Linked DNA regions of Mus musculus. The protein of the gene in region 1 purifies or fractionates together with the protein of each later gene. This does not show direct contact. Links are inferred from orthologs where the notes say so. Each region holds a gene or a part of one and is shown on either strand. Other genes may lie near its edges. The genes, in order: Snrnp70, Snrpa, Cdc5l, Mrps26, Snrpd3, Larp7 and Snrpf.

Region 1 (3,500 bases):
CTGAGTGCTGGGCCTGTACCTAGTGGAGCGTAACTGAGGCAGTGGTGAGCAGTAGGTGCTTTTGAGGCCTTGAGGCCCACTGTTTAGGTTGGGCAGGATAGATAGATCCAGGTCTCCCAGCCCGGGCGCAAACATTCCTCTGACATTCAGAGGCTCCCTTTTTTCCTTCATCCACTTGTCTCTAGATGATGTGGGAAATGTAGTGTCTCCCTCTCAGGGTTCCCTGTAGCTTTAGTTGCCCCTGTGGTGGTGGGTGTGGGGTTGTGTGAGTGTTCAGGTAAGCTTGGGGTCTCCAGGTAAGCAGTCCCGTGTCCCAACCCCCACCCCACCCCCGGGAAGCCCGCCTCCTCGCCAGGCCCCCAGGAGTTGCCGGCCCCCCCCATCCCGCTCGGTTTGGACACCCGCAAGGCCGGCATCGGTAAATGGCACCTTTTTCTCTTCCTCTGGTTGTTATTGGGGGGGAGTGGGCAGGGGTGGGGCAGGGTATTGTGGTTGGTGAGCACAGCCCCTTAGGCCAGGGCTGGGACCTGGACAGGGACTTTTTGGCCTTCTTAACAGCCCTGCCTGATCACAGGCCTGGGCTCTGGGCCTTCCCACTATGTCTTATGCTCCTCAACTTCCCTGAGGGTTCAGGCAGGGCTGCATGCCCTGCTGGCCATTGACCTCGGCTTGGAGGACAGAGCTGGCCAGGCTAGGTGGTGGCAGGGTCAGTCGGCTCAGGTAAGGCAGGGATTTTGAGTAGCACGGTACATGTCCCTTTGAGTCCAGCCAGGGTCCTTGGAGGTCCCTGGGGAGCTCAGCACCCACCTATATCCCTGCCAGTTCCTGAAGGTCTTTCCACTCCTGTTCATTTCTGTTCTGATGTCTCTTTCCTCACACTGACCTCCCCTATAAAAACACACAGAAAAACAAAAACAAAAAAACAAAAAAATAATCTGGTGTGGTCTGGATGTGGTGGGGCCCAGTGGGCCTCCTGCCTCAGCATGGTGTCTAGGGTGCATGCCTGGGTGTGGAGGAGCCTAGCCAGCCTCCTGCCCAGCATGGTGTCTAGGGTGCATGCCTGGGTGTGGAGGAGCCCTCCCCACAGCAGAGGCCAGCATTCAGCTAACCTCCAGTTTCTTTGCAGCAATTTGGCCGCCCTGGCAGGAGGGGGCTGCTCCATCATGTGAAAGCTGGGGGAGGCCAGAGTAAATGTTTTACCCCCCCAATAGCACTTGGGGGTGCCAAAAAGGAATCAAGCACCGGATGGAGCAGGCCCTTCAGGGTGGGGAGAGGGCGGTCTGGCTGTTGGTTGCCTGGCTGACTGGTGGGAGTGTGAGTGTATGTGTGCAGATGGGGTTTGAGGGGCAGGGATGCTGTTGTATGGAGCCTTGTCTGACTAGAGGACCTTCTGGGGAATTCCCCCTCCCCCACATCTGTTGCAGCCGCTTACAAGCACGCAGATGGCAAGAAGATAGATGGCAGGAGGGTCCTCGTGGATGTGGAGAGGGGCCGGACTGTGAAGGGCTGGAGGCCCCGGCGCCTAGGTGAGTGCAGTATTCCTTCTGGGTGCCTGGGCCTGTGATTAGAGATTATTCTTCCTTCAGTCTCCCCAACCCATACGCCTGTTCCTCTCCATTTCCAGCTTGTCTTCTCATCATCTTCATGGCTTTGGACACTGGTGCACACAGACACCTACACATGAGCACCCAAGCATACCCTGGTCTTTCCTGCATGAGTGATTGACCAGCAGCAGTTCTTGTGCAGTGTGGGTAACTTCAGCACTGACCTCAGCCACCTTATGCCCATATACTTGGTATCATGGGCTGGGTTGGAGGGTATCACTGGCTCTAGCTTTGCTCTTGCTCTCACTGAGTGGCTTCTTCATTCACTCTCTAGCTGAGTCACCAGCCCAATTCCTGGCTTCACATCTGAAGCAAGAAAGCAGCAGCCTGTGCTCTGACCTTGCATCTGACCCTCCTGGCCTTTCTGGTGGTTGTGGGCTGTCTCCATGGGGGTTGTTGTGGCAAGTCTTGAAATATATCTGAGGGTCTTAAAGCATAAGGAATAGAGGTGCCTACTGATGCCAGGCTCTTGTTTCAGTCCCATGATTGTGATATCATCAATAGATCCTCACCAAGACCTTGAGACTGGACTTGGAGAGTTTGCTGCTCACTCTGTCAACAGGTGTCACTCTCTAAGCTATTTGCTGATGCCTCAAATTAGGCCCTGGCTGGGTTTAGGTCTTTTGTGTGAGTAGCTTCACTCTGTCTTAGGCAGTATTGCCTGGCTCTGCTTTCACCTGTGCACCTGTGCAGAGGTGACCTACCATCCCAACCCCCAGGGACCTCCAAGTCTTTTATTTATTTATTTATTTATTTATTTATTTTAAAGATTTATTTATTGTTATATGTAAGTACACTGTAGCTGACTTCAGACACTCCAGAAGAGGGCGTCAGATCTCATTACAGATGGTTGTGAGCCACCATGTGGTTGCTGGGATTTGAACTCAGGACTTTCGGAAGAGCAGTCAATGTTCTTAACCACTGAGCCATCTCTCCAGCCCCTTTTTTCTTTTTTAAAAAAGGTGGATCCTTTAGGCTGACTGCTGTGCTGAATGAAGTCTCAGAAACAAGACAGTTGTTGTGGTTACAGATTTGTTGATATTAATATAGTAAGGTATGAGCCCGCTTCACTCCCATGGACAGACACTTAGCCTAGGTGAGACTTTGGGCAGCATTTTTGCCCATGTGCATAAAGGTATTTGTTACTATTTGTGTGAGGATCTGAGATATGGTCTTAACTGTGAAGCCCAGGGTAGCCTCAGGCTCTTGGTGATCCTCCTGCCTCAACCTTTAATGAACAAGATGTTTGTTTTCTCTCAGTTTCTGAAGTTTCAGACTGAGTTAACTATTTCTGTTGCTTTTAGACTTGTGACAGTTAGATATGAAGAGTGATGGAGGGACGGAGTCTACTTAGGGTGCAGGAAGTGAGTGTTTATTTTGAAAACTGTTGACATTGTAGCTGTCTTTGGCCACTTTGTGGGTTCTTTTTTCAACCCTATTCTTCCACCCTTTCATCTCTGTAATACATAAGAGAGGAGGGGGAAAAGAATAGAGAGGAGTGGAAAGAGACCCCTGAATACAATCGGATTGAAAAGGAGACTACCTGCAGATTAGGGGCATTGAGTTCCTTGGGGCAAGTTTGATCTTCACCATTAGGATATGTAATTTCTTCTTGTTGTCTCTTATTTGTACCTGACTACTTAAGAAACCAACAACCTACCCTCTTGTACAATCCAGGATGCGTATACCCTCTGAAAAGTTCTCAGAATTCCAAATGCCACACAATCACAGTAACTATCCGCAGCTGGCAAAACCATGCCTCTTATAGGCATGAAGCAAACCCGCTGATTCAAAGCAGTCCCATATGCCCACACCTGGGATGAAAACAAAAACATGTTCTTATAATATTTCTGTGGGTTTTTTTGGTTTTTTCGAGATAGGGTTTCTCTATGTAGC
Region 2 (4,262 bases), about 18 Mb from region 1:
TACTACAAACTTGCTGTTCAAATAACAAACACTTCTTTTCACTCTTAAGCTAACCTTCCAGGCCTTTAAGCCTGACATGCCATCGATTCCTTCCTTCCTTCACTTGTTTATTCAAGGTAGGATCCCATTCTATAGCCTGAAACTGTCAACAATTCTCCTGTCTCAGTCTGACTCACAAGCACGGCCTCCTAGTGTCCGCCACACCTCAGCCGTTGTACTCTTCACTGAATGCCCTTCTCCTGACATCTCCATGACTGCCCCTCTAGCCACTTAAGTCTCAGCATAAATCTGCAGCCTCCCTGCAGGAAGCTCTCTCCAACTTCACTGTCCAGATGTCCCCTTATGGCCCTCTTCTTACCCTGTCTCCTGCTGACATCACAAGTCCACTTACCGACCACCACTAACAGCTACAAGCCTGTCAGTTGGACATGCTGGCCCCACCCGAGAATCCCAACCCTCAGGAGCCTGAGGCAGGAGCACCAGGTACCTGAAGTCAATCACAGTGGGACCTGGGAAGTCAGGCTTACAGGCAAGCATGCGTACCAGCTGAGTCATTTCCCAGTCCTCCCACGACACTTTTCTCCAGTTGGTCATAAGAACCAGTATTTACCCTTCCTTAACTTCTGAATTACTTCCACAAAGCAATGCACCAAGGGGCCAGTGCAAGGGCAGTAGAGCATCCATCCACTTCACAAGCCTTCACGACCTGAATATGATCTCAGGAACTCAACAGCTGAAAGACAAAGGCTTCTCTAGAGGGGTCCTGACCACCCTCATGCATCCATTTATAGATGCACACAAAATAAATACATAAAAATAGTCATTTGTGTTTACTTTTTTAAAAATGTGTGCCGGGATTCAGTCTTTGCAGAAACTTTCTAACTATGGGCCTTACTTCCAGACAAGAACTGAATTATTTGGTAGGGATTTCTATTTAAAAAGAATCTTAAAAAAAAAAAATTTTATGTGTGGATTTTTTTTTTTTTTTTTTTGCCTGCAGAAGCCAGAGGAGGATGTCGTATCCCCTGGAACTGGAGACACACACAGTTACGAACCTCCCTGGAGGCAAGGAATCAAAACCAGATCCTCTGTTAGATCAGGCAGCATTCTTTAACCACAGAGCTCTCTCCAGGCCATGCTGATTTTCTTAGTTGCTGAGATTTGAACCCAGATCCTTACTCCTGCTAGGCAAGACTAACACTAGCTACATTCCTCAAACCTTTTGGACACTGGGTCTTGCTATGTCGCCTCAGCTGGTCTGGAACTCAAGCTCCTCCTGCCTCAGTCTCCTGAGTACTGGGATTACAGCCCTGTACCTCCACACCCTAAAAGAAACCGTTTGTCTTTGGTTTCTTTTTTATCTGCTTTGGCCATGTTGTCCCAAATGGTTTCAAACTTTCACTCTTCCTGAAGAACAGAATTACAGCCTCTGCCAACCAGCCCAGTCTAAGAATCTGCTTAAGCAGAACCCCACATTTCTGTCTCATTTTTCTTGCTATTTGATCCCAGGCAAGTTATGCCACCCAAATTCCAACTACTTAATCTGAGAGGCTTGTGAGAATTAAAGACAGTCAAGACTTAGAACGCGGCACAATCACCCACATCACAAAGCCATCCATTGCCCATCCCTCCTGTGTGTCATCTGCATTGTAGTCAATCACTGAGGCCACCACCCAGAGGTCAGTGGACAGAGACAGTCTCATGAAAGCAGACTGATGGCAAGAACGATCCTGGAAGGCTTCAAAGGAAGAAGGGACCTATGAGCTAAAACCTGGAAGATCACTAACAATGCGCAGATTAAAGGGCAGAGTGTAAAACCTAGGGTGAAACCAAGGAACCAGTAGGTACAAAGGCCAAAGTTAACTCCTAACAGACAGAATGGGGAAGGCTGAAAAAGAAATGTGGATGCTAGAGGTGAAAAGGGGTCAACTCTTGTGATATCACCTTGAGTCAGGCTACCCCAAGAACTCACCATCCTTCTTGATCTTCTCATTGAGATTGTTGATATAAATAGTGTGGTTGGCACGGGTCTCGGGAACTGGCATGGTGGCTATGGTGGCCATGGTGTGAGATGTTCAGGTACGGCTTAAAGAGGAGGAAAAAGCGACTTTAGCCCTAAGTTTCCCAAATTCTTTGTTCCAAAGGGCTGATGCTCAGGGATCGCCCTTCCAAGAGGAAGTCGAGTAAGACCGGAATTGGAAGAGGATGTCACAGCTTAGCAACAAAGCCAGCACAGGCCCCCGCTTCTCCAACCCGCGTGCTAAGGGAGAGCTAGAGAGGTTAACTACGAATCCCAGAATGCTCTACGAGTCCCGGCAGGCGGAGCACACCGAGCGGCGCTTCCCATTAGTCCACGTGCGCGAAAGGCGTCCCGGGAGGAAAAAAGACCCCGGATGTCGGAGCCAGTTAAGAAAGTAGGGGCCGACTTGGAACATCCTAGTCTCTCAAAGAGAGGCCTCCCGAAGTGCTCCACCCGCCTCCCCGGCGCCGAGCAGCGTCTACAACCCGCGGGAACCCACCACCTGAGCCGTCGCTCCCGCCGACAACGCCCGCCGAGCTACGCTGCACAGACACACAACTATCTTCCCCGGCAACGGCTTCTCCCTTCCGCGAGCTAATCACGGCGGGCAAACTCGGTAAGTTCAGAGTCTCTCCCCCGGCCTCAGCGTCTGCCAAAGGAACACTTGGGGTCCCGCCCCCTGGACGCGAGGGAACGGACCAATCAAAGAAGGGCACGAGCTTCTGGCCAATTGGGACATGGTTAGAGCTCTGGTGCATTCTAAGACTGCCTTTCGGAAGCCACACCTCTTCCCCTTCCGCCAGTATCACGTGACCTTCAAGAGCGTTGTGCTGGTTGCGAGTTCTATCACGTGGGATGGGAAAGGACAGGTGGAGGCTGGCCGGGTGACGTCATTTCCTCCTGGGGAGGCGCTTGTGCAGATTCCTAAGTTCCTAAATTGATAGGTTTATACCAACTTAGTTGGCCTTTGATCGCTGAGTTGCTGCGACTCTCATACTTCCCCGCTAAGCCCATGACCCGCCCACCATTAGGCTGTTTTCTCACCCACGTGCCTTTTTTGTAACCTCTTAACCCTAGCTCGTAAAGTCAAGGTTTCAAACTCAGGCCCGCAATGCAAAAAGTAGGCAAGTCACATCCTTTAGACACCTCACAACAGATCTGAACCTCCGAATAACAGAAGTGACCAAAACTAGCTTAGCTACAGCAGATGAGATGACACCTACAAAATGTCCCTTCTAATGTAGCCCCAGCCCCATAGCACAGACCACCCTTCGGGATCCTTCAGCATTTGATTTAGCCCAGTTTCTCTTTCCACTGTTTCAAATACTAGCCCAGGTTCTCCCAGAACAACTGGCCAGACACCATATTCTGCTATCAACTCCAGTTTTAATTTTTTTTTTTTTTTTTTTTACAGATCTCAATGTGCAGGCCTGAATATCTCTCATCCAGTTCCTTTAAAAACTGAAAATCTCCATCCTTGGGAGATTTGGGGAGAGCCTCTTATTCTTCCTGTAGACCCCAAATGACTTCTCCATGCTCTTTCCCCCTAAAACCCACAATCTCTCCAATAATTCATGAGACCCCAGACACCAACATTCCACCTCCTTTACCTCTAAATCCCCCGGACCTAGCTTTACCATCCCCTCCTTGTAGTCTCCATACATCTATTTCATCCCCACTGCCGCCCCCTCCCCCCCCTCCTGCTCCTCCCCCTCCCCCTCCCCCTCCCCCTCTACCCTCTGCTGTGGAGCCTGTTCTCCCTCATGTCTATGGCCTGAAGAACAGCCAGCTCCTGAAGGAGGCCTTAGAGAAGGCTGGCCCAGCCCCCAAAGGCAAAGAGGATGTGAAGAGGCTCCTGAAGCTGCACAAGGACCGGTAGGGTCTCCAGCCCCCAAAACCAGCCCAGATCTCAGACAATCACCTGATTACAAGTCACCACAGCCACCCTGCTCTTTGCGGTCCCACTTCCTTGATCTCAAACAGCCAGATGCCTTAAGTACCCTACTTAGTTAGCTTCCAGCAATAGAGAGAACAGCTTCTGCTCGGGCCTGGCTTTGACACAGAAGCCAGTGGTTCTGTGCCTCCAGACAGTGACTCCAGAGTAGCCAGAGTTGTGATAATGGAGCCCAAGGACAGATCTCAGTGTTGGCTTCTAGAATCGAAGCAGCTACAAATGCTAGTGAGCACGTTATGCAGGCCAGTGCCATGAAAGCAGACAGTACCGAGCAGATCTACAGTAAAG
Region 3 (3,500 bases), on another chromosome or scaffold:
GCAATGCCAATTAAATGTGGCTAATCATGCAATCAACTGATGGCAATGTCTCGGTGTCTCTCAGCTGCACAGAAGCGGCTGTGGGAGCTCGTGCATTTCACAAGTTCCATACTGACATAGGATCGAAGCCTAACCTTTACTGCACAGAAACACTAACAACAGTGTCAATTCATTCATCATGTCAGTAACTTATTAAAACTTTATCCAACAGTTTAGACCTCAAACTCTGTATCCTCACATCTGCCCAATTGCAAGAAAAACTGCAGCACGTTACAGAGAAAACAAATATAGCAATGATCTATAGTGTGATTTTGTTCTCACAACCATCCTGAGACAATATGACAGAAAGGGGCTATGCAGTATGAGAAAAACTAATGTGACCCAATTTTCTTCTTCCAAATGGAGCTAAAACCTATATATCACTGGACAACTACTGCATCAGTATAAGAGGTTGCTAATATTTCCCAACTTCCAAATCTAGTTTTTGTCGGTCTGTACAGATCTAAGATTATTCAAAACTAATCCAATTTTTGCTTTTAACATCCTTTCTTCACTAGATTAAAGCAATCCTTTCTTCACTTCTATAAATAAAACACATTCTTGTGTTTAGAAGAGCATAGTAAATTTCAGTGTTTAAACAAACATATGTATACAAACATCTAAAAAAACCAATTAAGATATTCTAAGCATAAGATCATTCATTTATGTGAGTATATTATTGTTAATAATATAATTTGAGGAATTTTGTTAAAATATTAGAAAAACTCAAAGTAGCAACCTAGAAACACTGACAGCCATGCCTCCCTCTAAAGGCTCTCAACCTTCCTAATGCTGCAACCCTTTAATACAGTTCTTCATGTTGTGGTGACCCCCAACCATAACCTTATTTCACAGCTATTTCCTACCTGTAGCTTTGCTACTGTTAGAAACTGCAATGCAGGTATTTGCTCTACAGGATGTCTGATATGTAACCCCAAAGGGGTTGCAACCCGTGGGTTGAGAACCACTGCTCAACAGCCGCATGACCATACTGACCATACTGATGATGCTTTTTAATGATTCTCACCTGCTTTCGAGCATCCACATCAGCAGCATCTTCAATGTAGGTATCATCTATTTCACGTTCTTCTAGTTCCTTCTCGGCATTTTCAGGCAGAACAATTTCAAAATCATTCTTAGGTGCGGGGAGGCCTAACAACCCTAAACGGAGATGTTCACGAGATTCTCTTTCCTGTAGAGAAGAATTGGTCCTTGTCAATTCACACTGTCAGTACTAACTAATAAAGTCTCTAAAAACTTCTAAAACAGCAGAGCATAGTGACACATGCCTGTAATTACAAAACTTAGGTGGCTGATGCAGGGTTACCACAAACTTAAAACCAGCTTCCGTCTAAACAAAACAAACAAAAGTTTCTGAAACACCTGGCTTGGGGCCAGTACAAGCGCTTGCCTCCAAGACTGACCACCTAGGTCTCATTCACAGGGCAGAAGGAGAGAACCAAGTCCTGTAAGGTGTGCTCTGACCCAAACACACACACCACGGTAAATGTGCACCCACACGGGACACAGGAATATACACTAAATAAGAAATAAAGTATAATTTAAATGTTTAGATATATGTAAAAATCAAACAATTAACTTAGTAGTGACTCTTGTAAAGTGATCCTCAACTTTCTTATTCTCTTACCTTCCTTCACTAATATCAAACAAAACCTTGACTTGTAATAAACCAGTGTATTGTGGTGTTAAAAATCTCAAAACTATGTCTTCAAGGACAGAGAAAAGAGCTCATTAGGATCTGTACTTGATTTTGGTAGAGAGAGAGAGAGCAAGCGAGGAGAGATGGCTCCGTTACTAAGAGCACTAGCAGCTCTTCCAGAGGAACTAGATTCAATTCCCAACACCCACAAGGCAGCTCACAATTGTCTCTAACTTCAGCTCCAGGGGATCCAACACCCTCACACAGACACACATGCAGGCAAAACACAAGAAAAACTTGAATTTAATTTAAAAATTTAGAGCTGGAGGTATCTCTCAGTATAGAGCACCTGCTTAGCAGGTTGAAGGTCCCTGGGTTCAATGCACTGAATATATAAACATAAAAAAGAGCTGATACTTACCATCTGCTTCACGTAAGAGGGGTCACTGTAGTCTGCCATTCCATCCTCTGGATTAATGTTTAACTTGTCTCTAAGTGGTGTTCTACCTGGGGTGGCATTAGTGACTGGTTTAGGAGTTGTTCCACTTCGGGGAGTCAGCCCTTCAGCTCCATTAGAAGGAGTCCTATACAAACAGAAATCTAAGTCATGGTAAATGCATAAAGTAAGGAATAAAGACACCAAAACCTTTCTCTTGCTTTCACTGTGTTATGTTGATTAAGACTGAAGTTCAGTTTGGTGAGCACAGTATTTATATGTACTGTACTGGCTTCCAGCCCTTACATCTGATGTTTTGCCTTCCCATGCCAGGTTCACCAGACATTTTTTGAACCTTTGAGGCAGTAGGGTAACTAAGAACAAGCAGCTGGCAGAGAGGCTGGCCACCACACTCACTCGGGGGCCCCAGGTGACATGCTGAGCTCAGTGTGCTCATCATTTATTGTCTCCCTTCTTAAGTCTTTACCTTTCATGTCACTCATTCCCATCAAAGGTGCACTTTACATGGTTTATGCTTTTATATTTTGTTTGGAAAGCAAACACCACATTTTCAGATTCACATCTAATGATGAACAGGTTCTGAGTTTAGGCTCTCAACAATAAAGTCCAGCAGCAACTTATACTTTAATTAGTCAAAGCCTTTCTGGTTTTGGTTGCTTACTTCCTGTATCTTGGCTGTGTTCCAGACTGATGGTACTGCCAGACATCTGTTCCCAACAGGTGCGGTGTTATCATTTAAGACATGGTCCCTGCCCCCAAGGAGCTTACAATCTATTTAAGAGACAAGATATACACAGGAAAATAGAAATTAGGCTCTCTTTAGCCTCACAGGAAGCAATAACTACTATACAAAGACTAGCTTCCGATGATTCTTGATTCTGCTCTCATCCACAAGTATAATGGACTGTGGGGATTTCTAGCCTAAATAACCCATAGAGGGCAGAGCTAACAACTAAAAATAAATAACAGGGCTAGAAAGATGGCTCAAGTTAAGAGTGCAGACTGCTCTTGCAGAAGACCCAGGTTCAATTTCTAACACCCACATGGCGGCTCACAACCTTAACTCCAGTTCTTTGGGAGCCAATACCCTCATCTAACCTCCAAAGACACCAGGCAACCCAATTAGAAGACATCAAAAAGGCAAACCCAAGTTAATAGTTATTCTAATCTCTGTCAACATTACTCAAAAAAAATCATGCTGCTCAGGTTCTTAAGTGAAGTTTTTCTAAACTACAGACCATGCTGATTTTTACAATACCTGAAAGGGGTAGACAGAACTGTATTTGGAGTCTGCACAACTTGCCGCTGTGGGGTCACACCAGAGAAGTCACTCTCATGCAGTGG
Region 4 (3,559 bases), on another chromosome or scaffold:
TCTCAAAAGCCAGAATAAAACACAGTAAAAAATAAACTAAAAAAACCAAAACAAACTTAAATCAGACCAAGGTGAGAGTCCTGAAGAATGACACCAAGGCTGCCCTCTGGCTACCACTTACACACACAGAAGGGCAGCAACTGACTGGAAGAAGCAGGTTTAGCTTGGGAGTCTACCACCTGCTGAGTAGTTCAAAATATGATAGATCAGGACAGGGCCTGGTTACAGAAGTCACTGCTGGAGAGCCATCAGGAGAAACAGGGCACCCTTTTTGCTTCCTGGATCTTGGACACACCAGACCCTAGCCAGAAAATCCCAGGATTGAGCAAAGCAGGTACCTAACTCATAGCTCAGTTAGGTGAAACTTGCTTCTGGCTAGAAACCTAAAGACTCAAATAATTAGGGACAAACGCCTTTGATTTTACAAGCAAGTTAGCATCTGGTGTAACTACTTTCCTCTTTCATTAGCACTGTAACTATAGCCAGTAAATGGGCAAGACTGGGCTCCAATACTTTATTTATAAAAGCAGGAAACATTTGGCTCACACGACTCCAAGAGACTTACAAGACAAGCTTGGCTTCTAGAGGGGACACAGTCCAGTCCGATCCTCTGTGCGATAGGAACTTCCCAGAGTTTAATGCTGCCCTGAGTTTGTCTGTGGTGCCAGAACAGGGACATCTGGGAGTTCCCAGTCAGGTGGTGAGTGCCGAGCCTGGAGTGACTGAGGTTGCTCTGGAAACGGCTGAGCCATCCTCCTGGGATGTACCAATTCCTATCCCAGTACACAGACCCTAGGCAAGCACTGTGCTTATTTGGGCCCCCAGAAGTCTCTGTGCTCAGTTCCTGACCACCTGCCCTTCTTTGGTGACGGCCCAGTTGTAACTCTTCGGAGAGTCCAACGCTTCTTCTATCCGTGCCTCCAGGTTCTCCCGAGTGATGAAGTTTTTTGCCTCCTCCTACAGGAAGAGAAAGGTTGGCTTTGTGGGATCTCTCCCAGAGCTGGCTGCCTGCACTGTCTCTAGTCCACGGGTGTCAAAAGAACCCAGGGTCTCTTTGAGTGTCCCACCAATCGTCCAGCACAACTGTACTAGGTGACCTCGACCATCATATTGCTCTTCCTTGGACAATCACCCATCAGATCTCTCGGCCACAACCCAAGAACAAATCGTGACAACCTGATTAGAGGTGGGTGGACTCTCTCAAGTGCATGAATCCCTCTTACGTGTTAAAAAGCGCTCCATTCTCACTTACGGTTTCCCTGACTTCAAGTTTCACAAGGCAATACTAGCCTGTAACCTTTTACTGACCATTGCCTGCGAGGCATACCCTCTGCGCTGATGGAGAAGCCTCCTGAAGACTCTGGTCACTTGACGCCCAGTGCTGTCATCCCCCCCCCCCCCCCCCAGCCTCCCTTGCTGGGGTCTCCAATGTCCACATTCCCCATGACCTCCTGCATGCCCACCTGCAGCTTGAGCACTTCTTGCTCTTTCAGTTGCACCCAAGCCTGCTCCTCCTGAGCCCTCTGGGCCTGGGCCTCAGCCTTCTGCACCTCCTGGGCCTGTGCTTCCAGCTGCAACCTCGCTATCCTGCGAGGGGCAAGACGCCGAGGGTGAGCGGGGCCACAGATGAGCCTAGCCCAGCCCACCCAGTCCCGGGCCTCTCGCACCGTAGCTCCTGCATTCGCCGGTTCTCGTCCCGGTTCCAGGCCATCAGCTCCCGGTGCTCCGTGATGGCCTGCTGCGCCTTGCGCTCGGCCAGAACCCCGGCTCGGGCCTCGTGCAATTTCCTTCGCACCTCCAACGTGAACTCTAGCCTGGGGAGGACGGGCTTCGAGTCAGCACCCACCCTCGGCCCCGGCCCTTCCCGAAGGGCGTCTGCCCTCCACACGCACAAGCACACGCACCTGAGAGCGCGCACGGTCTCCCGGTACTGTCGGTAGCGCTCGGTCAACACGAAGAATTCCGCAGGGTCCACGGCGGGAGGCGTCTGCACCCGTCCGACCTTGGATTTGGCAGGCGGGTCATGGCGGGTCTTGCGGCCGCGCACGGGCAGGAGCAGCGGGGTCGGGGGCCGAGTCTCCGGCCGCGCCGCCAGGCGGTTCAGAGCGCGCAACATGACAGCCAGCGCCTGCGCCTGCGCCCGGCCCGGAAGTGGCCGCGGAGCACCACGGGAGCCTCCTGTCCTCGTCCCTGTTGGGCGGAGCTCTTGCTGTCTGGTCCAATGCACGTCCGGACTCTCGGGTAGAGTGGGAGGGGTCGAGGGGCACCTTGGAGACCCACAGCTTGCTGGGCTGCGTCGCCCGCTAAAGACAGCTACACCGCAGGACGCTCTGCCCACTTGTTCACAAGTTTGGACACCGTCCCAAGTGTGTGGCTCTGGGGCTCTCTGGCCCGCCGATGGCCTGTCTACCCTCCCAGACCTGATGCAAGAAATTTGGAGTTCCTGGCTACTTTAAACTTTAGATTTGCAAACCATTTCCTTGCACTGCACTGCCCTGCTGTGGTCTTGGGGGAGCTCTGCAGTTGCCAGAGTTCTCAGTATCAGTGACAACTTGTTCTCAACTGGGCGACCTGTGAGGTGACCCTTGTCCTCTTCCACCTGACCCGGGGTCTTCCCACCTCGAGACTACTCTTATTTATGAAGTACAATTTCCTCTCCAACTGAAGAGAAACAGCAGTGCAGCAGGGCAGAGAGCATCTGTCTCAGAAGTAGCTCGTTCCCCTCTGCCTCTCCAGCAAGGAGAGTTGTTGGAAATCAGAAGCTGACCCGAGTACTGGGGAACTGAACTTTCACCCCACTCATTAGTATTGTCTAGACCAGATTCTGCAGAGAACACCAGGCCATGGTCCTGCACTTCCAGGACACTTGGGAGTGTCTGAGGAGCCAGGACTGGGTGCAATAACAGACATTTTCTCAGAAGAGAACAGAGGCTGCTTAAACCCTGCTCTCAACTTCCAGGCTTGGTGGAGGCCCAGTCTGCACTTTCTTTCTCTCAGTCAGGCTTTGGAGATGAGATGCCAGAGTGTACTCTGGAGTCCTGGGGGCAAGCTGGTGACAGGTTTTCCTCCAGGGTTCCGGCCATAAGACCATTGCTGGGCCCTGGAGGATCCAGGATGGATGGTCTGTGGAAACCAGGGCATTACTGCTGCCCTACCCTGGAGTACCACAGGGTTGCTCCGAATGTCAGGGAACCTGACACTCCCACCCTGTTTTTGTTTTTGTTTTGTTTTTTGGCAGGGTCTCACTAGATAGCTCTGTCTAGCCTGGAACTTACAGTGTAGATCAGGCTCACAGAGATCCACCTGCCACTGCCTCCTAAATTCTGGCATTAAAGGCATATGCCACCATACCTGTCCTAACCCTTTCTTCTTCAGGGTCACCCTAGACAACCGGCAACTCATCTCAGATAACTTAAGTGTCTAGGCCAAGAGAATATTCTAGGGTATGGGCCATTTCCCTAGAGGCTCCCTAACCTTGCTGGCTCTGAAGTCCTCTCGCTAGTCAGGTGCACCCATCCTTTTAGAAGGTTTCATAAATGTAAGAGATTTAGATCTAAGG
Region 5 (4,139 bases), on another chromosome or scaffold:
TCAGGAGACAACAGGTTGGCACCCTCCAGCTGCCACTCTGGGGGACCTGCCAGGGCATTCACGCTGCGACAGCCCTTCCAGCAGGCTGCCAGGGACTGACCACAGCAGAAACATCAGAGCCAGTCCATTACTGGCTCCAGTTACTCCTCTTACTTGGGTGAAACTTCCTCAGCACCATGTTGTAGCCTGAGGCTCCTTTTGCTCACTCTGCCTTCCTTTCCTGGACTGAAGACCCTCCTGCTACGATGATTAATATTACCGACTTGATGGATTTAGAATTACTGAAGGGACAGGCGTGTCTGCGAGGGATTGTCTAGGTTAGGTGGAGGTGAAAAGTAGAAACTGGGCTAAGTCCTGGCACTCATCTCTGCTTCCTGACTGCAGATTCAATGTGACTAGTTAGTACCCTCCTCAAGTTCTTGCCACCATGACTTCTTCTGCATCAGACTGTCTCATCACACTGTGAGTCGAAATAAACTCCCCCTTCCTTAAGTTGCTTTGGTCAGGAATTTGATCACAGCAACAAGCAAAGTAACCAATCACTTCCGCAATCCTGCTCGGTCACTGGCGTCCTTCACGCCACCTCCCCAAAGTCTCTGGTGTATCTAATTCTGGGTTGGCATTTACAGCACAGAGGATCCAAAACAACTCCATCCTCATTTTATTCAGGGGAGAACAAGTGACCAGGATACCCAAGGTCCTATCATTATGGCCCAACTCAATTTGGAATCAGGGAATTCTCTGATTCCAAAGCTCAAGTTCTTAATTAATGGGGAAAACCCCCAAACCATATGCCAAAACTTTGGCAGTTTTATCAGATGAAACTTTCTCCAAGACAAAAGTAAGCACACACAATACGTGAGTAGAAGATCCTGCAAATTATACACTGTGCTGGGAAGCAGACACTGGCTCTGAACCTGACCGACTCTGAGACAGAAAAGTGAAACTTAACTGGTTGTTTTATAGACAAGTACTTAGCAACTGTATTTGGCTAAAGGCTACCTGACAGTAAATATAGACCTAACCCCAGAGAAATCTAGGAAAAGAGATTGTGCTTTCAATTCAGCATTCTGACTCCCTACCAAAAGCAGTGTGGTCTTGCTATAAAGCCCAGACTGGCCTTGAACTCGAGAATCTACCTCAGCCTCTCAAGTGCTCGGATACACACGTACAACCACAGGCTGTCAAATGACTTTTCTGCCTCAAGGCTAAGTCTATACTGACATAAAATCTTAGAGCCTGTAAGAGTGCTTGACAGGTAATAAGTACTTAGTTAATAACTGTTTGATGAGAATAACTTCATTAAGACCTCCAAGTACACCGCTCTACCCACAGGATAGAAGCCACAGCCCTTTCCCAGCCCTGGTGCCAAGCAGGATACCTGACAGTTCATGTTGTCCTCTGCTTCAATGAGCTTCCCTCGGTATACTTCCCCGGTGTTGGTCTCACACGTCACTATGTGGCCTTCAGCCTCGTGCAAGACTTTAATCGGCACACCAATAGACATCTTGGCAGGACTCTTCCCGGGCTACAGGGAAAGAGAGACGATGGTCATCTTTCAGAGCTTAAGGACTGGCACGCCATGGGCTTTGTAAATGATGTCAAGAGCTGCGTTTCCTGTGGAAGGAGTGTGGCTCTTGGCCTCAAGGAACCACCACAGCAAATTAGCGCAACACGTAGGGTAGGGAAGGATGGTAAGCTGGACAATGAAAAGTAATGGGAACAAAGAGTACTACCCCCATTCTCATCCCAGCCATATGACCCTTTATAGTCACTAAAAGGGCTATGATATAGACCCGGAGTGTAAACAAATCACTGTTTACATGGAGTTAAATAAAATGCAAATAAAAGCAAACTCAGTCTTTCAGTCACACCAGAAATATCCCAAGTAGTCAGCCACCACATTTGGATAAAGGCTACAGAACCTAATAGTACATATAGACCTGAGCCCCAAGGAAGCTAGGAAAAAGAGCTTGCGCTTTTCAATCCAGCGTTTTGAATCCCCACCAAAAAGCAGACCAAAACTGTCAAGGCTACGGTGCTATAAATAGGAAATGTTCATCAAGCAGAGAAATAGGGTAAACGCTCGACTTTAAGTCTCACTACAAGACAAAGACTATGCACAGGGCTTTTAAAATGCTGAGATTGGAAACGACTCAAAACCGGAGCACACCATTTATTTGCATGAGAAGACTGTAAGGATGCTAAACACAGTCTCTCTCTCTCGGTGAGGAACCACGGCTTTCAACTTTAGGAGTGTGGGTTTCCATGCTGAAAATGGTAGGGAAACACTGCAGGATGATAGCCAAAGGTTCAAAAAAAAAAGAGTAGCATCTACAAAGTGGATCGAACATATAGCACGGCAACTTGATTAAACTTCTGCAGCAGCGTGGAAAAGAGGGCCACTGCAGGAATGGGAGTGGAGGCAGGGATGAAAGGGACGTTGTAAATGATGATCCAAAAGGAAAGGAGGTAATTAGCAAGAAATGACTGCCCGTAAGCTTCGGAAATCGGTGACCTGAGAAGGCACCGAACGTGCAGACTAGGCGTAAATTAATAACTGTTCAAGGGTTCGGGAGATGAGCTTTGGATAGGCCCTGGCTTCCCGCCCTCCGCTAAGCAAGCCCCGCTGAGCTCCTCCGCAGCGGCCCTTCCAGCTCCTAAACCCCCTGGGGAAGCCCTGGCCTCCTCTCTCCCGTTAGCCGCCTCTCCTCACCAATTAACTGCAGGCTTTATTTTTTTTCCGGTTCTGGCACAAACGTTAGAAGGCGAAGGCGAGAGAACGACCGGCCCGACTCTCACGAATACCACGCGCTCCCAGAATGCCTTGCGCAGGCCCCTCCCTTTCCTTTAAGCCTACTTGCCCTTCACTCTCACTTAGCCGGCTGGGGAAACCAGGGCTCTAGCACAATAGTTCCGGCACCGGAGAGGGCCCGGGGGACCGCCGGAAACACCAATCCTGGAGCCCAACAAGGGAACATGGTAACCCTGAGTACTGTAGTGGCGGATTGGGCGGGATCTGGGCTTGAGCCCAGTGCTCTGGGGAGACAGGAAGTGAGGCTTGGACTAGAGATTTAAGCTTTGGATCCGGCCACCGGCAGGTAAGGGACGCACTGAGCCCTGGGAACTCTCATTATTCCTTGTCTGGGTAAGAAGACCTAAAAGGAGTCGGGAAAGTGTTCCCTGGAGTCTCGATAAGGCACTGCGGAGAACCAGAGCTTCCATCTGAGGCTGCAGAAGAACAGACCTAGCGGAGGGAGAGCGTGGGGAGCCCACGTCGCTAGGGGAAGGGCTTTGGGGGCGGGGCTCGGGGAGGGGCGGGGCTCGGGGAGGGGGAGGGGCCCCCGGAGCGTTTCAGGGAAGGACCTACGGGTAGCGGGTTCTGGAAGGAGAAGTGGGGGTGGAAGGGAAGAGGCGTGGCTTATGGAAGGGGCGGGTTTCCAGCGCCCAGACCTGGAAGGGATTAGGCGTGGCTTGAGGCGGCCTAGCCACCGCCTACCCGGCTCTGAACCGCGGTGGCGGCGGCGGCGGCGGAGGCGGAGGAGGAGGAACTCTGCGCTCACTGGCCGCGCTCGCTGCCCAGCAGAAGTCGCCGCTGCAATCAGCTCCAGGCCGGGGCCATGGGCGCCCTGCGCCATCCGGGTCATGAGGACGGAGGCAGAGGCAGCGGGGCAGCCGCTCGAGCCCGGTCAGTGCCTCTCTTCAGGGCCTTGCCTTCAACCGGGGGAACGGAGGGGGACTCCGCCCTAGAGCCGGGCAGGGTCTGGCCGCGCGCGACCTTGGGTCGTCTGCGGCCTCAGCCCAGCCTGGAGCTTCTAGTGGGTCCTAGCTAGGTGGATATTCCTTCTCATCTCCTGTCCTCCACTTAGGGTCGTTCCTGAGTCTCCTGGGGCTTGAAGCCCAGGGAGTGCTGAGAGCCGTCAAGTGGAAAAGTCCAAGGGGCAAAAAGGCACAACCTTGTCCAGAATCGAATAGCCCTGCTTGAAGCACGTTGGGTGATCCTATTCCCCGGGGAACTGTGGAAAGCCTGAGGCCGAGAAAGAGGGGGAAAGAATGGCTTGAGAGCTCTCAGCAAAGGGGCGGGAAAGAGGGGGAAAAGAATGGCCTGGGAGCACCCAGCAAAGGGAACATCTTTTTCT
Region 6 (3,500 bases), on another chromosome or scaffold:
GTTCCTACATTTTTACCAATAAATGAATTATAAATAAATGAACTAGAATTAAAATTTGTGTCATTTCTTACCACATATACCGTGCGTTCCTCCTCGTCCTTTGGTCTCTCACCTAGGGGTTTTTTCCTCCTGATTCTGGTCCCTTCTAAGTCCAACTTTATGAGGGGGGAAAAAAAAAGGAAAGCTAAATAAAGTCAGTAGTTAATTGGATGTGGGTGACTTGAAATGTAAGTTTTTTACCTCTACAACAGATGAGCTTTTCAATGCTCTGGCTATTAGCTTCCCATCAGTTGTCAGCTTCTTCATTTTGTTAAAAGACACCAGGAGAGAAATGTCCACATCTAGTAAATAGGATAGTGGGATGTTAAACACTGGAATATATACATGTGTGCAAACAAGCACGAGTTCAACATGCAGTTGTGTGTCATGAACATATACAGTACTGAGCTCTCAGGAGGCTCTGGCCCCATATAAATGTGAGTTGGAAATTCCAACAAAGACAAAAAACTTACATCCATCTCTAGACTTTTCAATTTGCTCTCGCAGAAACTTGTCCTTGTGAAGGTTTGCATCTCCAAACCAGAAGTCCACCTGCTTAGCAATATCTGCAAGCACCTGTTTAACCCGGGAGCGCTTCTTTTTTTCTTCTTTTCTCTTAGTGCTTTCTTCCATAGTTTTTTGGTTTTCAGTTTCCATTCTGAGAGGGGAAAAAACAAAAATGCCAAACTGTAAAGTGCCTAAATGCCCCTGTCACCTGAACCTTCCTGCTGCAGGAATTCCTGCTGCAGGACGCCATCTCACTGACATCAGTAAGGATGTTTTTAAAGCTGGTCTGTCAGGCAAGTGCAAATTCTGTAGTAAATTCAAGTAGTAAAACCTCTACCTCAAAAGATGGCCTAGTCAGCCACCACTGGAAAGAGAGGCCCTTTGGACTTGTAAACTTTATATGCCCCAGTACAGGGGAACGCCAAGGCCAAAAAGGGGGAGTGGGTGGGTAGGGGATTGGGGGGGTGGGTATGGGGGACTTTTGGGATAGCATTGGAAATGTAAACGAGGAAAATACCTAATTAAAAAAAAGAGGAAAAAAAAACCCTCTACCTGATAATTACTAATTAAGTACATTGTAGCCCTATGGGGGGGGGGGGAGGGCTGGAGAGATGAACTGCTCCTGAGTTCAATTCCCAGCAACCACATGGTGCCTCACAACCATCTATAATCTGTAAGGGGATCTGCCGCCCTCTTCTGGCGTGTCTGAAGACAGCTACAGTGTACTTGTCTTTAAAAAATAGGTGAATACTGGATCTCATCTCAGGTTTTCAACTCACCGTATCCTTCCAGGCTTTCATTCCTACCATTTAAGCGGAACCCCAATGAGCTCAGTGTTTGCCTAATGCCAACAGTTACCTGACCTCTTCATCTGGCTTTAAGTTTGCCTTTTCTGGATCCTTCCAGAAAAGGGACACTTCCAACTGTGACTAAACTCCTATCTTGGCCTCCTGTCTCATCTATCCTCTCTGAGGGTCCTGGCTATTCAATTCTGGGCTCTCTATCTCATACATACACACTCTCATTAGCTCCATATTCCAACAGTCAATTACACACTTGACATCTCCATTTGTTCATTTAGAGGATATCGCAAACTTTATCTGACAAAAACAGAATTCCAGCCCCTCTCCCTCATCCCTTCTCCTGTCTTTATCTCTTATTCCCTGCTCTTTATCCCTCTGGAATAAATAAATCTCTTTTGTGTTTGAAAAAAAAAAACAGAATTCTATAAATTTAAGATTTTTTTTCCTCTTTGCAAAATACCAACTACAAAACTGTAAAACCAGAAAGCAGTCTCACTCCCTTCCTCATACTCTACAGTCAATTCAATTCACCAGCAGTCAGACTAGCACGGGCTTTAAAATACATCCTCAATTAATCCTTTTATTTCTAATAAGCTACTTGGTCCAAGTTATTATCACATCTCACTTGAACTATTCCAAGATCTTCCCTAGAGGTCAGCTGGCTTCTACTCTGTTTTATTATAGTCAATTTCCTGCTGTTTCTTTCCCTAATACTCACACACACTCTCATGTCAAGTGTGTAATTGACTGTATGGTTGGCTTGGTTATTTACCCAGATCTGTGAATGCCACTGTTTAAGAGAGCTTTGTCTTTCATCCAACCTACAAGAGTCCCATGGATCCCAATCTGAACTATCCCCTAGACTTTTCTTTCAATGCTCACCACTATCTGGAATTAGAGTTTTGTTATCTACCTACCCCACTATAATACAAATATAGAGGCAAAGGCTTTAATCACTACGTATTTGTGAAGTAGTTACATATATTTAAAAGTCCCTGTAGCTAGGCATGGTGGTACCTAAGCCCCAGCACCCACGAGGCACTGGCAGGTGGGCCTCTGTGAATGTCTCGCCCTATATAATGAAAATAAGGTATTAAGCATCTCAAGTTCTTTTCTAAGGTGGTGGAGTATAAACAAATATAAATACAGACTTCAGTGATCAGAGCAGGCTCCACTGCTAACTGTTAATCATAATGGGCGGGCTTACAGCTTTCTAGTTCTTTTTCCTGTCAAAGCCCACCATCTAAGGCAGAGGTTCTCAACCTGTAGGTGAGACACTTTTGGGGCTCACATATCAGATAACCTGCATATCAGATATTTATATTACTACTTAAAACAGAAAAATTACAGTCATGAAGCAGCAACAAAATAATTTTATGCTTAGGAGTTAGTACTACATGAGGAACTGTATTAAAGTGTCACAGCATGAGAAAGGTTGCGAGACTCTGATCCAAGGCATAGTGGAACTCACAGCTACTCTACTCTTCACCCACTAGATCTAAAGCAGAGCACACAGAACTGCAAAACACAGATGCTCACAGTTATCATTCCACTACCTTAGCCCAGAGGCCATTCTTCCTGTTTCTCTTAAGGGTTACTTTTGTAACTTAGCATATTCCAGTTCAGATCAAATACACCTTCAATTTGGAACAAGTTACAGACCAAACAGAAAGTCACATAAACTACAGAACAATTTAGCTTCCCTACTCCAGGTCCAAAGAAAACCAGTTAGTTAAATGGCTACACCTTGGTTACAGAGCTTCCTCATCTCTACCCACTTTCTGTCTGTCTTTCTCCTTGATGCTAGGAATAGGAATTAGACCCATGGCTTTCCATATCCTACCACTGAACCACTCCTCAGCCCTTGCTGCACTCCTAACCCTATTTGTACTTTCCCAAGGTCCTGTAGTAATGAATAATTATATTGCCATTCCACACATTTCAAAGGAAATGTATTCTTTCCGGCCAAAATCTATTTATCCTCACTAATGTTAACACTATAATCCACCAAGTTGACCAAACCATATCTGCATGTGTCTGGAAGTTTTCTCATTTCTGTGGTCCATAAAAGGTAGACACAAGTCTGTGAAGATTGATTAAAGAAAATGTGGTTTAAGCACTTTAAAATGTTGCTGTGGAGAAGTCTGCAGA
Region 7 (4,184 bases), on another chromosome or scaffold:
ACTCTTGGTCCTTTGCAGAATACGGAAGACAGCTCAATACAAGGAGAAAAATACTAACATGAATCTGTCTGAGTCTAATTCCCAGTATTTCATCACCTACAGTATTAAATTAGAAGTTGGACTAGGTATCCCCAGGATTGTGAGTTTAAGATTTATAAATTTGTCAATGCTGACTGAATAAGTAGAGCATATTTGAGTGTCAGGAACAGTAATTATTCTTCCATTACCATGGGAAAAAAATCCGAGCTAAGATTTCGGTCTGATCAAAATGTATCTGAGATTAGCAGCATCATTTTTAAAATTTTCTTTATCATGTTTTGTCTGCATGTGCGCATGTGCACCGCGGGAGGGCCTGGCACCCACAGAAGTCAAAAGAGAGAGATGGGTCCCCGGCACATGAAACTTTGGATGGTTGTGAGTCACCACCATGTGGGGATGGGATTCGAACCCAGGTCTTTTCACGTGCGAAAAGCGCTCTTCTCCATTGAGCCAACACCCCCAGAATGTGTTGGCATACTTTAATAATATAAACGACAGTCTTTAGGCTTAGGCCTGGGCCAATCTCGAATCTCGAGTTATTTGGGGAATCCATGCCAAAAAAACAAAACAAACAAACAAACAAAAAACCGTTCAGGTTCATATAGGGTTAGATCTCCCGAAAAAGAAAAAAGTACTCTTTTTACACGGGTTTCATATCACAGGTGAAGCGATACTGAAATGTTGAGATTATGGGGAAATTAAACGGGGTTCTGATCGATAACTTTCCATCAGAGCGATTAACCTGTGGTAGCGTCAATAATTCCCCACATCCTATTCACAAACACACGTAAACGGACCTCCTTTGGCCTCTGGTTCTGGGAATGCTTAGACATCAGAACGACAAGAGGCCACCACATTATCCGAGACTTAACTTGACCTGGTTTCAACTGTTGTAAAGCCCCACTTGAGTGCTTTTCACTAGCACTCACGTAGTCTTGCTACCCCAGCTTCCTTTAAAAACCCGCAAGTGGACGGACATTCTGTAATAAAGAACAGTCCCATAAAAGGGGGGCCGTGCCAGAGGTGTTCCCCAAGTGCTGGATCTATGGGAGGATGACCTCCAGAACCCGATCTCGTTCTTTCAGCTGAAGGACAGACTAAACCTTCTTTAGCTAAAGAAACCAAGTCCGTTCGCCAGGGCACTTAGCTTCCCCTTGTCCCGAAGCAAAGACATTGGGGTCGCTCAATCGTTCCCACTTCGAACTTGAGCAGTGGACACAAACACACGCTTACCTGGTTGCTAGGAAACAGTACCGCCATCCCCTCCAATCAGTAAACACGTCTTTGGTGGCCAATCACAGAAGCCGAGACAACGCGGCGTGAGGTGAAAGGTCAGGCCGCTTTTGTCGGCCATTTCTCTTAGCGCGGGTCGCTTGGTTGTAGCGGCAGCCGCTCCGGTCACGAGGGGCGGGCAGCGGCGGAGTCGGCGGCTAGCGGGGTGCAGCGCTCGCCGGTGGTCGCGATGGTAAGGACGATGAGCGCCGCGGGGGCTGGAGGACGGGCGGCCTCGCGGGGCCCGCCGCCCCCTGCGCCTCCCATTCATCCCCACGAGGCGCCGCGCGGCTGGCCGCTCGCTCCTGCTCCCGACGTCGGAGGCCTTGGCGGCGCGCGCGCGGAAGCCCTTCCCCTCCCCGAGATCCCCAGCCACCTTTCCGCGTGTTGTTTGTCCCGGAGCCTGAGGTGTAGCCTAGTTTGGGCTCACAGGGTAGGGGTAAACCGAAGCGAGTTTTCCATTTCTACCTAGCACGCTCCGCAGTGCGCCATTTATTCCTTGCTGTTGACAATTTTAGCAGATTGTCCTCTGGCGCAGAAAACCCCGGCTACCCTTCCACTCATTTAATACTGATCTTAGGCGCCAGGAAGATGGGGTGGTAAGGTAGACTCTGCGTTTTCTTAGGAGTGGGAGGTAGGCAGCCGTCAAATAATAACAACAAAATAAGCAATTACAAGTAGCGGTGATTGTTAAGCAGGGAGCTGATAGGATGCTCTGAGAGGTGCACTGCCTAGTTATAACGCAGTGGAGGAGCGCTCTTCTCCAGAAGGTGTCAAATAACCAGACATCCAGGTCACAGAGCAGGTGGAAGAGTATTTCTTGCGCGAGTTCCAAGTAGAAAGTAGGTTTGACCAGTTGGAATTGACAAGAATTGACCGCTGCTTGCAAGAATGATGGTTTTAAAATACAGCCTGGGACCTTAACGCCTCCTAGGAAATATGAGGCTCTGTCAAGTGCAGTTAGAGACCATTGGAGCATTCTTTTAAGTCACAATAGTACATGACTTGATAAGTGGTTTGTGGATGATAAATTATAGGCAGCGTAAATTGGCTACTCATTTAGACCCTGTGCTCTCCAAGATTCTTTGGGATGGTGTGTGAGTGGAATGGAGTATGGGGGTGGTTATGAATTTAAAGGGAATAATACTTCTTGATTTAGCATTAAGAGGCCCTCTCACTGACGATATTGAGCTTTTTTTTTTTTTTTAATGTCTGCAGAGACCACCCTGTACCTTTATTTTGATTCCTTTAGAGCTTGGATAATGTAGGTATTTGGGGCTTTTGTCCATTCGGCAGTGCTCAAAATGGAACTAGTGACCTAAGTATCCTAGGGCAGTGCCCTGTCATTGTGTTACACACTTGCCCCACTCCCATCTGTCATTCGACATTTAATTGCATAATTCATATTTTCGTTTCTGTCAGTGGACTATGAAGTTGGCTAAATGGGTACTTAAATTTCTCTCAGACACCCTCCAGCAAATTATAAAGTGATGGTGGATCGGAGTTTACCCTGTGTCATAAAGTCTTGACTGGTGTCTCAGTAGAGAGTGGGTGGTGGAAGCTGAGGTAAGCAAAAATTATTGAGTGCTGCCTTTGGTTTTTATACAGAGTCTACCCCTCAACCCCAAGCCCTTTCTCAATGGGCTGACAGGGAAGCCAGTGATGGTGAAACTTAAGTGGGGCATGGAGTACAAGGGCTACCTGGTCTCCGTGGATGGCTACATGAACATGCAGGTATGCTGAGGAGGAGGAGCATGGGTGAGGAGCAGGAAACCAGGTTTCTACTGTGTCACCTTACTCCTCAAAGGTTTACTGAGACTGGTGGGAATGCGCACAGATTGACAATAGAAAGTGGAGTCGAGATTAAAGTATGAACCAGGGAGGAGGTTGAACCATGATGTTCTTAGGAGTACTTACACCAGAACACAGAGCTTTGACATTTGGTCTCTAAAGCAGAAGGGAAAACTAGTTTATTACAGAAAACAATGATTCAGCCTGTCTTTTTCTAAGACGTGTCTGTATAGGCGATTAGCACTATGATGCAGTGGCATTAGTACTCAAATGGAACTCTGTACCCATTAAATAGTTCTGTTACCACCTGTAATCCACCTGTAATCCAGCCCTATGATTAAGAGTGGGACTGTCTCTCATGTAAGTGGAATGTATTATAAATTCAGCTAACTTCAGATCAAAAATTCTTAAGAGAAATTATATCTTATGTTCGAGGTACACAGTCCTTTTGCTTTCTCCACTGTACTAGGCTATGATCAGTCTAGAAATTAGAAGGACATTAGGTTCTATGCAGATGCTCAGCTATTTGAAACAAGGAGCTCCAACACCCTTGGTCCTAGAGGCCCTGGAACAAAGCCCCATAAATGCCCTGGGGTAGGCTTTTTGTCCTTTTGTCTGGTTTGATTATAGCTTCAGGATTCATTGATAGAAGTTACTGCTTTTCAGGACTGAATAATATCCCGTTATATAGCTATAACGCATTTTTACAGTCTATTATGTTTGTTTGGTTTTTTTAAAACATTATTTTATGTGAGTACACTGTCACTTTCTTAAGACACACCAGAAGAGGGAATTGGATTCCATTACAAATAGTTGTGAGCTACCGTGTGGTTGCTGGGAATTGAACACAGGGTCTCTGGAAGAACAGTCACTCTTAACTGCTGAGCCATCTCTCCAGCCCCATCTGTCCAGTTTCTTGTAGGGATCAAGCCCAGACCTCTGTACATGCTGACCAGCAGTCTGCCACTAAGCTACATTCTCAACCTGTTCATTCATTTTGATTTCTAGTTTTTAATTTTATTTTATGGATGTCTTGTCAGTGTACTATGTATATGCCTGCTGCCCATCAAAGTCAGACAAGG

Evidence for each region.
Region 2: the proteins of Snrnp70 (region 1) and Snrpa purify together in Homo sapiens (affinity purification with mass spectrometry; 4 studies listed by BioGRID and IntAct, counting the BioPlex papers as one, with this or other methods). This does not show direct contact. The link is inferred for Mus musculus from reciprocal best matches to the Homo sapiens genes SNRNP70 and SNRPA.
Region 3: the proteins of Snrnp70 (region 1) and Cdc5l purify together in Homo sapiens (affinity purification with mass spectrometry; 3 studies listed by BioGRID and IntAct, counting the BioPlex papers as one, with this or other methods). This does not show direct contact. The link is inferred for Mus musculus from reciprocal best matches to the Homo sapiens genes SNRNP70 and CDC5L.
Region 4: the proteins of Snrnp70 (region 1) and Mrps26 purify together in Homo sapiens (affinity purification with mass spectrometry; 3 studies listed by BioGRID and IntAct, counting the BioPlex papers as one, with this or other methods). This does not show direct contact. The link is inferred for Mus musculus from reciprocal best matches to the Homo sapiens genes SNRNP70 and MRPS26.
Region 5: the proteins of Snrnp70 (region 1) and Snrpd3 purify together in Homo sapiens (affinity purification with mass spectrometry; 6 studies listed by BioGRID and IntAct, counting the BioPlex papers as one, with this or other methods). This does not show direct contact. The link is inferred for Mus musculus from reciprocal best matches to the Homo sapiens genes SNRNP70 and SNRPD3.
Region 6: the proteins of Snrnp70 (region 1) and Larp7 purify together in Homo sapiens (affinity purification with mass spectrometry; 3 studies listed by BioGRID and IntAct, counting the BioPlex papers as one, with this or other methods). This does not show direct contact. The link is inferred for Mus musculus from reciprocal best matches to the Homo sapiens genes SNRNP70 and LARP7.
Region 7: the proteins of Snrnp70 (region 1) and Snrpf purify together in Homo sapiens (affinity purification with mass spectrometry; 5 studies listed by BioGRID and IntAct, counting the BioPlex papers as one, with this or other methods). This does not show direct contact. The link is inferred for Mus musculus from reciprocal best matches to the Homo sapiens genes SNRNP70 and SNRPF.

Annotation. Positions count from the first base shown.
Region 1 is NC_000073.6:45,378,743-45,382,242, reverse strand, and holds part of Snrnp70 (U1 small nuclear ribonucleoprotein 70 kDa), read left to right. Parts: exon of another isoform or gene 1-1,424; coding exon 1,425-1,526; intron 1,527-1,624; coding exon of another isoform or gene 1,625-1,725; exon of another isoform or gene 1,726-1,747; intron 1,748-2,082; exon of another isoform or gene 2,083-2,166; intron 2,167-2,908; exon of another isoform or gene 2,909-3,434; intron 3,435-3,500. UniProt on the Homo sapiens protein: Component of the spliceosomal U1 snRNP, which is essential for recognition of the pre-mRNA 5' splice-site and the subsequent assembly of the spliceosome. SNRNP70 binds to the loop I region of U1-snRNA.
Region 2 is NC_000073.6:27,193,472-27,197,733, forward strand, and holds the start of Snrpa (U1 small nuclear ribonucleoprotein A), read right to left. Parts: upstream 2,801-4,262; 5' UTR 2,520-2,800; exon of another isoform or gene 2,310-2,519; intron 2,290-2,309; exon of another isoform or gene 2,086-2,289; 5' UTR 2,064-2,085; coding exon 1,973-2,063; intron 1-1,972. Other genes in the region: BC024978 (UPF0692 protein C19orf54 homolog), read left to right, coding at 3,543-3,895. UniProt on the Homo sapiens protein: Component of the spliceosomal U1 snRNP, which is essential for recognition of the pre-mRNA 5' splice-site and the subsequent assembly of the spliceosome. U1 snRNP is the first snRNP to interact with pre-mRNA.
Region 3 is NC_000083.6:45,409,708-45,413,207, forward strand, and holds part of Cdc5l (cell division cycle 5-like protein), read right to left. Parts: coding exon 3,415-3,500; intron 2,928-3,414; coding exon of another isoform or gene 2,921-2,927; exon of another isoform or gene 2,299-2,920; intron 2,284-2,298; coding exon 2,121-2,283; intron 1,232-2,120; coding exon 1,067-1,231; intron 1-1,066.
Region 4 is NC_000068.7:130,562,336-130,565,894, reverse strand, and holds Mrps26 (28S ribosomal protein S26, mitochondrial precursor), read right to left. Parts: upstream 2,139-3,559; 5' UTR 2,117-2,138; coding exon 1,905-2,116; intron 1,815-1,904; coding exon 1,668-1,814; intron 1,588-1,667; coding exon 1,464-1,587; intron 958-1,463; coding exon 838-957; 3' UTR 501-837; downstream 1-500.
Region 5 is NC_000076.6:75,516,703-75,520,841, reverse strand, and holds the start of Snrpd3 (small nuclear ribonucleoprotein Sm D3), read right to left. Parts: upstream 2,801-4,139; 5' UTR 2,717-2,800; intron 1,529-2,716; 5' UTR 1,508-1,528; coding exon 1,382-1,507; intron 1-1,381. Other genes in the region: protein GUCD1, read left to right, coding at 3,646-3,688. UniProt on the Homo sapiens protein: Plays a role in pre-mRNA splicing as a core component of the spliceosomal U1, U2, U4 and U5 small nuclear ribonucleoproteins (snRNPs), the building blocks of the spliceosome.
Region 6 is NC_000069.6:127,546,850-127,550,349, forward strand, and holds part of Larp7 (la-related protein 7), read right to left. Parts: intron 698-3,500; 5' UTR 697-697; coding exon 513-696; intron 342-512; coding exon 241-341; intron 156-240; coding exon 72-155; intron 55-71; exon of another isoform or gene 1-54. UniProt on the Homo sapiens protein: RNA-binding protein that specifically binds distinct small nuclear RNA (snRNAs) and regulates their processing and function.
Region 7 is NC_000076.6:93,586,859-93,591,042, reverse strand, and holds the start of Snrpf (small nuclear ribonucleoprotein F), read left to right. Parts: upstream 1-1,384; 5' UTR 1,385-1,501; coding exon 1,502-1,504; exon of another isoform or gene 1,505-1,630; intron 1,631-2,919; coding exon 2,920-3,045; intron 3,046-4,184. UniProt on the Homo sapiens protein: Plays a role in pre-mRNA splicing as a core component of the spliceosomal U1, U2, U4 and U5 small nuclear ribonucleoproteins (snRNPs), the building blocks of the spliceosome.